Cricetulus griseus: one gene and its partner. The protein of the gene in region 1 binds, or shares a complex with, the protein of each later gene. Links are inferred from orthologs where the notes say so. Each region holds a gene or a part of one and is shown in the gene's direction. Other genes may lie near its edges.

Region 1 (4,817 bases):
CCAAGCTGGCCAGCTGAATACCTGTGGCTACTAGGTGTGAGAAAGAAGATGGCCTTAAGTCTGGACATCCCATACCAACCAGGTTGACATCACCACCTTCTTCTTTCTCATTTCTTCCCCTCCTCTTCTTTCTCTGGGGAAGGGCAGAGGAAAAGGTGGGGTAAAGAGAATCCAGTTAACACTGGTTGACTTTGAAGGAGAAACTGCTTGCTTCTTTTCATGTCCAGGTACCTAACTTCAAAAGGGCTTGGGGTCTGAAGACAAAGGGGCTCCTCCTGGTTAGAGCCCTTGGGGGTGAGCGAGGATTTGCATGCTCAAGCTGGGCATATTGGGGAGCTTGTTGAAACAAAAGTAATGGCCCAGCTACCTACCTCTAGAGGGTTATTCTATCTAGTCTTGGAGTACAGTCAGCTGAAGGGCTTAACACCATAATTAAAAACAAAACAAAGAGACCTACTGTGCATTATTGCTGAGTTCACTCAGCTCAGAGTTTAGAATACTTTCTGTTCATAGGGTCAGGGTATGTTCTCCAAATGAGGCTCTTAGGCCCAGGCAGCCATCTGAGGACCAGAGCTACAGGCTTTAGGTCAGAGCAGAACATGCTTACTTGAGCCCTAGATTCCTACCCAGAGATGGCAGAGTCAGGCCTAGCCTTCTCCATTGTCTCCTTGGTGGTTACAGAATCAAGTCTAGAGTGTGGGGTGTTTGGCCAAGTAGAAGCAGTTACTGCATTTTGGGGTCCAGGGGACTGAACCAGGCCCACCTACCCCTGTGGTAGGACAAGCAGGCAGAGGCTGTGAAGCTGTGGCTATGGCTGTGACTTTGTTTTGTTTTCTAACCTGAGTTTTTAAGGAGGAGTTTCTGGCTCTTCAAAGCTCAGGTGTGGAGCTTGGCCAGGGGGAACTGGGACTTGAATTGTGAGCAGCCTTCCCCTGAGGTTCTGGGTGAGCTGGGGGCCTGGAGCCTGAGCCCCAGAAGTCTGGAGCAGATGTCTGGGTGGGGCCTATTCCAGGCCTGCCTGGGCTGCTTCGACTTGGGATTTCCTGGAGGGCTCAGCAGTAGAACAGGCTTTATGAACTTCAGTGAAGAGCTTGGGGGCACTGAACACCCCAGCTTATAGCTGCAATTACCCTAGGAAAACCTGAAGTCTTGGATGATGGTGGAGGGTCTTACAGCTGTGGCAACCCTGAGTTGTTGTCTACCCTCCCCCCCCCTTTAATTTCTGGCTCTGGCTTATTAGGGCAGAGAAACAGGCTGCTTTTGCCTTTCAACAGCTTTGATGAATTTCTTCCTGATGAGGAGAGACTTGTGGCAGGACTCCCGAGGTCCCAGGGTCTCCCACTTTTAACTCCTCAATTGCCACATGCCTCCCTGTCACCCTGCTCCTTGTCTCTGGGTCATGTTTCTTTCCCTCCGTCTCTGCTACTGGTCATGAATCTGACCTTCTGTGGTTGAGAACATGGGTTTAGTGCTGGATAAAGAAATTGCAGAGACTCATCTCCAGGATGCTGAGAGGGGGGTCTCCTTTAACTTGGTGTGAATCTCCACCCAGGCTGGCCTGGTTGTCTGGTTGTACTGATTGATTGCATAACCTGGGCCCTGGGGCCAGCCCTGTGAAGCTGCCAGGGACAGTCTGTGCAAGGCAGAGCTGCCAAACAGGCCTTTCAGGCAGCAGCCATGTGAATGGAGTTGGGAGGTGGAGGGCTCCCAGAAATGTTGGGGAACAGGGCCTTGGATGAGAAACCAAGAAGCTACTTGTTGCTGTTGACCCTTATTAAGCCCTTGCATCCCAGGTCAGTCTTATTCTGCAGCTTGGGATGTCTAGGGTTAAGTTGAACCAGCAGCAGCCTGGCTGCCAGGTGGTGCCTAGACCATGGGCAGAATCCAGATGTCTGCTGCTCTCATTCCCACAGGCTCCCAAGAACCATAACTTCCCTTTTGGGAGTCCTTTGACATAGGTAGGGGCATGGTGGCAGGGAAGAGTGTGAGAGAGAAGGGTGGGGGAAGGACAGGTCCCGGCTATGTGGAGGCCATATGGTGGCCAGATGGTGTCTGCACTCTCCTGAGGCCATCTCCACAAGCTGTGACATGGCCAAGCCATCCTATTGTCCTTGCTCACCTGGGGTGCTGCTGCCTGATGGCTTGCCACCCCACTGACTGCCTTTCTTCCCCAGTCATGCCACTAGACATGCATACCCCATCAGACTGTTATAACTCCTGTACTCCCTTGGGTTGCTATGCATTGCCCCTAATCACCCAAGTAATGTTTTTTCTTCAGGATGGGGAAAGGAATAGGGAGTATATAGTGGCCCATCTAAAGACAATAAATTGCTCAAAGCTGGCTCACCCCAGGGTGCAGGACATGGCATATTGAAGCTGGGAAGGGGTGATAAGTCCTAAAAAATTCCCCAGGCCCTTCTTTCTGCAAGTGGTGCTCCCCTCCCACCCATGGACTCTGGCTGCCTCATTTGTTGGCACTGCCTGCCAGGGCGGTTGCAGGGGCGGGGCAGGTGTGGTTTACACGCTGGGCTCAGGCGCCTGTTCCCCTTTGTTCCTGGTCTCCAGCAGGTCTCCCCATGCTCGAGAGAGATGGAGGGTATGGGCTATGGACCTCGTAGGGCTTTGCCACTGACCTGTGCACCCCCACTGTTCCACTTTACCCAGCGACCTGGCATGTCACCAGGAAGCAGGATGCCCATGGCTGGCTTGCAGGTGGGACCTCCAGCTGGCTCCCCGTTTGGCACAGCTGCTCCGCTTCGACCTGGCATGCCACCTACCATGATGGATCCATTCCGAAAACGCCTGCTTGTGCCTCAGGCCCAGCCCCCAATGCCTGCCCAGCGCCGAGGGTAAGACATTCTTGTGCCTTGCTAGCTCATCTCTGGCGTTCAGTTTCCCTCTACCTTGACCCCAAGGAGACTCTTGGCAATTTGGGAGAGGGTTTTGAAGATGGAGAGTTTGGACTGTTAACCTCTTAAATGGTTTCTGTTTCCTTCCTAGGCTAAAGAGGAGGAAGATGGCAGATAAGGTTCTACCTCAGCGAGTGAGTGTGTTAGGAAGCCTGCCCAGCTCTGGCTGGCTAGCATCAGAGCCATCTTCCCCAATCCTGCAATGGGGAAGGGAGGAAGGACTGTAGAACTGGAGCTGGTGGAGCAAGCCGCTGCATTTCTCAATCTGCAGATCCGGGAGCTTGTCCCAGAGTCTCAGGCGTACATGGACCTCTTGGCTTTTGAGAGGAAGCTGGACCAGACCATCGCTCGCAAGCGGATGGAGATCCAAGAGGCCATCAAGAAGCCCCTGACGGTACACGCCTCCCCAGACTGCCCTCCCTGCCTGACGGTACACGCCTCCCCAGACTGCCCTCCCTGCCTGACGGTACACGCCTCCCCAGACTGCCCTCCCTGCCTGACGGTACACGCCTCCCCAGACTGCCCTCCCTGCCTGACGGTACACGCCTCCCCAGACTGCCCTCCCTGCCCGACGGTACACGCCTCCCCAGACTGCCCTCCCTGCCTGACGGTACACGCCTCCCCAGACTGCCCTCCCTGACGGGCGGCCCTGCTCGGGGGTGCTAGGGCAGGGCTCCCTGACGGTACACGCCTCCCCAGACTGCCCTCCCTCCCTGACGGGCGGCCTTGCTCGGGGGTGAGCAGGGCTCCCTGACGGTACACGCCTCCCCAGACTGCCCTCCCTCCCTGACGGGCGGCCTTGCTCGGGGGTGCTAGGGCAGGGCTCCCTGACGGTACACGCCTCCCCAGACTGCCCTCCCTCCCTGACGGGCGGCCTTGCTCGGGGGTGAGCAGGGCTCCCTGACGGTACACGCCTCCCCAGACTGCCCTCCCTGCCTGACGGTACACGCCTCCCCAGACTGCCCTCCCTGCCTGACGGTACACGCCTCCCCAGACTGCCCTCCCTGCCTGACGGTACACGCCTCCCCAGACTGCCCTCCCTGCCCGACGGTACACGCCTCCCCAGACTGCCCTCCCTGCCTGACGGTACACGCCTCCCCAGACTGCCCTCCCTGACGGGCGGCCCTGCTCGGGGGTGCTAGGGCAGGGCTCCCTGACGGTACACGCCTCCCCAGACTGCCCTCCCTCCCTGACGGGCGGCCTTGCTCGGGGGTGAGCAGGGCTCCCTGACGGTACACGCCTCCCCAGACTGCCCTCCCTCCCTGACGGGCGGCCTTGCTCGGGGGTGCTAGGGCAGGGCTCCCTGACGGTACACGCCTCCCCAGACTGCCCTCCCTCCCTGACGGGCGGCCTTGCTCGGGGGTGAGCAGGGCTCCCTGACGGTACACGCCTCCCCAGACTGCCCTCCCTGCCTGACGGGCGGCCTTGCTCAGGGGTGAGCAGGGCTCCCTGACGGTACACGCCTCCCCAGACTGCCCTCCCTGACAGGCGGCCTTGCTCGGGGGTGCTAGGGCAGGGCTCCCTGACGGTACACGCTTCCCCAGACTGCCCTCCCTGACGGGCGGTCTTGCTCGGGGGTGAGCAGGGCTCCCTGACGGTACACGCCTCCCCAGACTGCCCTCCCTGACGGGCGGCCTTGCTCGGGGGTGAGCAGGGCTCCCTGACGGTACACGCTTCCCCAGACTGCCCTCCCTGACGGGCGGCCTTGCTCGGGGGTGCTAGGGCAGGGCTCTCTGCCTAGGCTAGGGCAGGGCTCCTCACGGCAGGGAGAGCACCAAGCGGTCCTCCCTTGTGATCACAAGCCTTTACCATCGTGCCCAGCCTACTGTGTCCCAAACATAGCCTACTAGCACTAGTGAAGCACGCACTGCAGCAGCAAGAGCACTGTATGAGAACTGTTTCGCCTGC
Region 2 (4,817 bases), on another chromosome or scaffold:
TAAGAACCTGGGGACTATTCACTTAGGTAGTAATTCATTAACAGAAATGGAAAGGTGGCTTCTAGAGACCTAAAAGAGTTAACTTTGAGCTGGAGATCATTTAGTTGGTTATTCTTTGTAGTTGGACACATTTTCCTCTTACAGTTTAATACTGCTCTCATGGAACAGTTATTTTGAAATTTTGCACTTCATCATCATGAAAACCTTTACTATTTTTAATTCAGCATCCTAATTTCATCATAATTTAAATGGTTACAAACAGTATATTTTCTTGATGGATATTAAACTAACTTTAAAAAATAATACCATATTCTTCATAGTTACTAGAATTTCAATGCCATAATCCATGTTTTCAAATGTCTAAGAGTATGGGTCAGTGTCAGAGCAAATTCCCAGTTCAGGTCTAACATTCTTGACAAAAAAAAAAAAAAAAAAAATCAAATCACAGTGTCAGAAACCATATTAAAGCCTTCCTTTACCCTGTCTCCCCAGTAGCCTTATAAACCGTATCCTATTGTCACACTCTCATTCTTGAAGTCTCTTTCTATCACCTAGCCATGTCCCCAACCTTAAGATATACTTGGTAAAAGTTTGTGTCTTTAAGAAACTCTTTTAAAAGTTTGTTTTATAATTACAAGATTTAGTATAAGTAGTACATCAGACAAGAGTAAATACAGGTTTGTAAGTATTTTTAGTGTCCAGAAGCCATGAATGTAGTATATGTGTGACTGTGTACTATTTATTGCTAGAATGGAACTGGAACCAGCATTAATGCTATTTTCTCTCTCTTATTAAATTGATGACAATTTCATACATGCATGTATTCTGATTAGTCCATTTTTTTTCTCTTCTCATTCCATCAACCCTCTCTCCCTTATCCCAGCAGTCCCTTTCCCATTCAAGACTTGACTTTTTTGTAATTCATGGAGATTAGCCAGGGTCACCCAAGAGATCACTGAGTTGGAACTGCAGATACTAGTTGACAATTTAGGTTACGTCATTAAGTGGACAAGGACAGAACTTGTTTGTAATTCTTTGAATTTTTTTTAACAATCATCCAAAAGGTATTAAACTTATTTTTATTGTTCATCTAACAACTAGAGCTCTGCTATTTTTGTTTTCCATCCTCCTTTCCTCCCTCCCTCCTTCCTTCTTTCTTCCTTTCTGTTAAAACCGAAGAATTATGAAATGCTTGACTTGTTGCTTCATCTTTAGATGGGTTGTATCTTTAAAAGGTATTTACAAGACTGTTGTAATCATGGTTTCTACTTGATGGTTCACAGACTTGAGAGTATGGCAGAATTGTCTGAAGGCTGCATATACATACAGCACAGAGTTCTTAATTTTCTAGTCAGGTGGGAACTAAGAACTTTAATTCTAACAAGTTCCTATGAGGTGCTGGTGCTATTGGTCTAGACTGCTGTACTAAAAAAATTGAAGTAGTATTCAATATTGAGCATCACTATATTTCAGTGCTACTTCTGTTATAAAGTGCTATATATCATATGTTTTGATTAGTTCTTGTAAAAATTTTGATGGTACAGATTTCCCTTATTTAATACTTGAGAATGTCTGCCACAAAGCCAAGCTGATAAAGCTGGGGTGGGTAGTAGGTGCTGCTTTGGGTGCTAGGGCTAAAGTATAGGCATGAGTGTACAGCTCACACTCGGATCCTAATCAACAAAGCTAAATTTTTATTACTTATATAAAGCAAGATATCTGTGCTTGATTTTGAGATAGGTCTTTTCTTGATGCCAATGCTAGCCTTGAATTGGTAATCCTCCTGCTTTTTGTCCCATTTTATCCTAGAAACTCTATAGAATTAATATTCACCTTTTAAATTTAAAAATGAATTTATCACTTCCAATGCATTGTACAGCTGAACTGACAGATGCTTATTGAGCTGATGACCTTAGCCTTTCCGTTTGTTCATTTGTTTGTTTATTGACTGCAGTGCTGAGGTTGAATGTATGGCTTTATACCTAGGTTAGGCAAGCACACAACCAACAAGCTGAGCTCCCCTCCCACATAGGTCCACAGCTTTTCTCAGGCCAGGTTCTGTTTTAATCACTTTGTGGCTTTTCTTATCTGTACCTACATAACAAATAACTAGAGAAAATAATAAATATGTGAAGTATTCAATCAGTTTCGGGAGATGGGAAAAACAATTTATATTGCTAGTAGCTAAATTATCCATTTTATTGTTTAATAATTATGAGGCTAAACAAAATAGGAAGATTCTAAAATAGTACCTAATATGCATGATCACTTTTCTTTTTTTCTCTAATTTCTTTATTTTCACGTGTTTCCATACCTTTGTAGAAAGACATTCTTTATAAATAAGAACTGGTTTAGTGCCCAGGAATGTAGCATATAGTGTCTAAATTTAGTAAATGATAGAGCTCTTTTTTTTTTTTTTTTTTTTTTTTTTTTTTTTTCTTTTTCTTCAGCTTCCAGAACAGTTGTGACACAGCATGCCGCTCCACCTCCAGGAATAGTGGAAATAGATAGTGAAAAGTTTGCTTGTCAGTGGTAAGTGGCTTGTTTCTGTTACAGCTTTAAAATTCTTGGGAAGAACAAACCAACAGAAAAAGAAATGGATTTATTAGCTACCCAGCAGTTTTATTAAAACTAAATTGGAGAATCAGGTTTTGTTGTTAAATATCATCTTTGTTTGGTTTTGGTTGTGTGTTTGAGGCAGGTGCTTGCTGTGTAGCTCAGGCTCTCCTTGAGCATAGCCTCTCAATTACCACTTTTGACAAGGATGAGAGAAAATTATTTTATCATTGTTACTATTTAATTAAATGTATGAGAAACAGGTTGACCTCTTTTGCTAGTGAGTTCTGGAAAGAGACTTTACAAAGCTAACAAGATTTCTAATGCTGACTTACATACATGTTTTTAATGTAGATGGACTTGACTCTAAAAAGAAGTGTGTTAGTTTCTTAGAAGTACAAATGGAAGTGTTTTGAGATGAGAGTGGCTGTGCGTAATATGTCATTGTTTGATGGCACAGTTGGAAAGCTTTGGTGAGTCTTGGCTGAAGGAGTTTGATCCAAGAGCAGAGAAAAAATTAGTTCAGTTTTCCACTATTTCCTTGACCTCAGTGCACACTATGATGCCTTTGATTAGGAGTTATTGCAAGACAGGTACACCACCAGATAATGACTGGGTAACACTGCTTCTTAGAGAACTGTTGCTAACAGACCATCCTTCCTGTGGCTGAGATGTAACTGTAGCTTTTGTTTATACTCCTTTAGTAAATATGATAAACAATTGGCCTATTTCATTAAATCTGTCTAAACCTTATGTGTATTTTTACTACTGACATACGAGGTAGTGAAATTTGGTTAGTTGAAGTAATTATTAGTATAACACTTTATCTTTTAATATACATGGAGGTTCATGGTATATAATGTCTTAATTTTTCTCTTTTTCTGTTTAGGCTGAATGCTCATTTTGAAGTAAATCCAGATTGTTCAGTCTCTCGAGCAGAAATGTATTCTGAGTACCTCTCAACTTGTAGTAAATTAGCTCGTGGTGGCATCCTCACATCAACTGGGTTTTACAGGTGTCTGAGGTAAAGTGACCAGCTTTTCAAAGATTCATTCATGTCAGTTGTTCTTGCATACTAGAGAAAACACCACAAGGCTGCTGACTTTTGCATCTCTACTGCTTGAACTTCCCCACACATTGGCTTTAGTTCAGTAGAGGCTCAAGTAAAGTCACTGTGTTGAGGCAGGGTTTATAATGTCTTATCAAAGAAAGAAATGTTTCTATAATGTTTATCAAAGAAAGAAAAGTAGGAAGTCAAATTCCCCTTTTTCTCCTACCTTCTTTGAAATGTTGAAGACATTATTCATTTTAAGTCTTGAATCCTAATATGTTGTTGATATGCATTTGACCAAATATGAGACCTTTGTGCTTTGCTAAATTCATAAACATACATGTTTTTAAAAACTGGTTATATATAAATTGCTTAAAACTCAACATTGTTAATAAGCAATGGTTCTTTAATTAGAGAATTAATCTTGTACATATCTATCTTTCCTCTTTTGCAGACTATGACATTGTGACTCATTGGTCAATGCATTAGTAGCAATGGCAATGCTCTGAGCATTGCTGGGGGCAGTGCTGTACTTTTGTCCTGTTTTTCATAATTAGTGTGTGTTATTTTACAGAACAGTTTTTCCAAATCATACAGTGAAGAGAGTGGAGGATTCCAATAGCAGTGGGCAGGCACATATTCATGTCATAGGAGTGAAACGGAGGGCTATACCACTCCCCATCCAGATGTACTATCAGCAACAGCCAGTTTCCACTCCTGTTGTCCGCGTTGATTCTGTTGCTGATGTGTCTCCAACACCTTCACCTGCAGGTATTAACTTTCAATTTTAATATTCATTTATTATATATGCAGTCAGGTCTTGCTGTACAAACCATGCTGGCCTCAAACTTGGGGTCCTTCTGAAAGCTGGGATTACAGACAAATGGCAGTATCCCCAAGTTTTTCAATGTTTTAAGGATTGCTAGAATGTAAATGTGTATTTTGTATATTAAGTGATGGCCTTGCCCTGTGCTGTTTACAGTGTTTCTCATGGGTGTCACCATACTCTAATGTTTCCTGTCTTTTGGGCATTAATTTCTTTACACCCTTCCTCTTGTATTAAATTAGATAATAAGACATTTGACATCTTACAGTCATTTTACTTGTAACTTTTATTTTTCCCCATATATATAGGAATCCCTCATGGATCACAAGCTGTAGGAAATCATTTTCAGAGGACTCCTGTTACCAATCAATCTTCAAATTTGAC

The links. Proteins that work in one complex are often made in the same cells at the same time.
Region 2: Smarcd2 (region 1) and Arid2 share a complex: the UniProt entries of both Homo sapiens proteins name them as parts of the SWI/SNF-B (PBAF) chromatin remodeling complex. The link is inferred for Cricetulus griseus from reciprocal best matches to the Homo sapiens genes SMARCD2 and ARID2.

The regions. Positions count from the first base shown.
Region 1 is NC_048600.1:119,215,061-119,219,877, reverse strand, and holds part of Smarcd2 (SWI/SNF-related matrix-associated actin-dependent regulator of chromatin subfamily D member 2), read left to right. Parts: intron 1-2,664; coding exon 2,665-2,849; intron 2,850-3,000; coding exon 3,001-3,043; intron 3,044-3,180; coding exon 3,181-3,303; intron 3,304-4,817. UniProt on the Homo sapiens protein: Involved in transcriptional activation and repression of select genes by chromatin remodeling (alteration of DNA-nucleosome topology).
Region 2 is NC_048595.1:392,796,623-392,801,439, forward strand, and holds part of Arid2 (AT-rich interactive domain-containing protein 2), read left to right. Parts: intron 1-2,450; coding exon 2,451-2,532; intron 2,533-3,445; coding exon 3,446-3,580; intron 3,581-4,181; coding exon 4,182-4,378; intron 4,379-4,741; coding exon 4,742-4,817. UniProt on the Homo sapiens protein: Involved in transcriptional activation and repression of select genes by chromatin remodeling (alteration of DNA-nucleosome topology). Required for the stability of the SWI/SNF chromatin remodeling complex SWI/SNF-B (PBAF).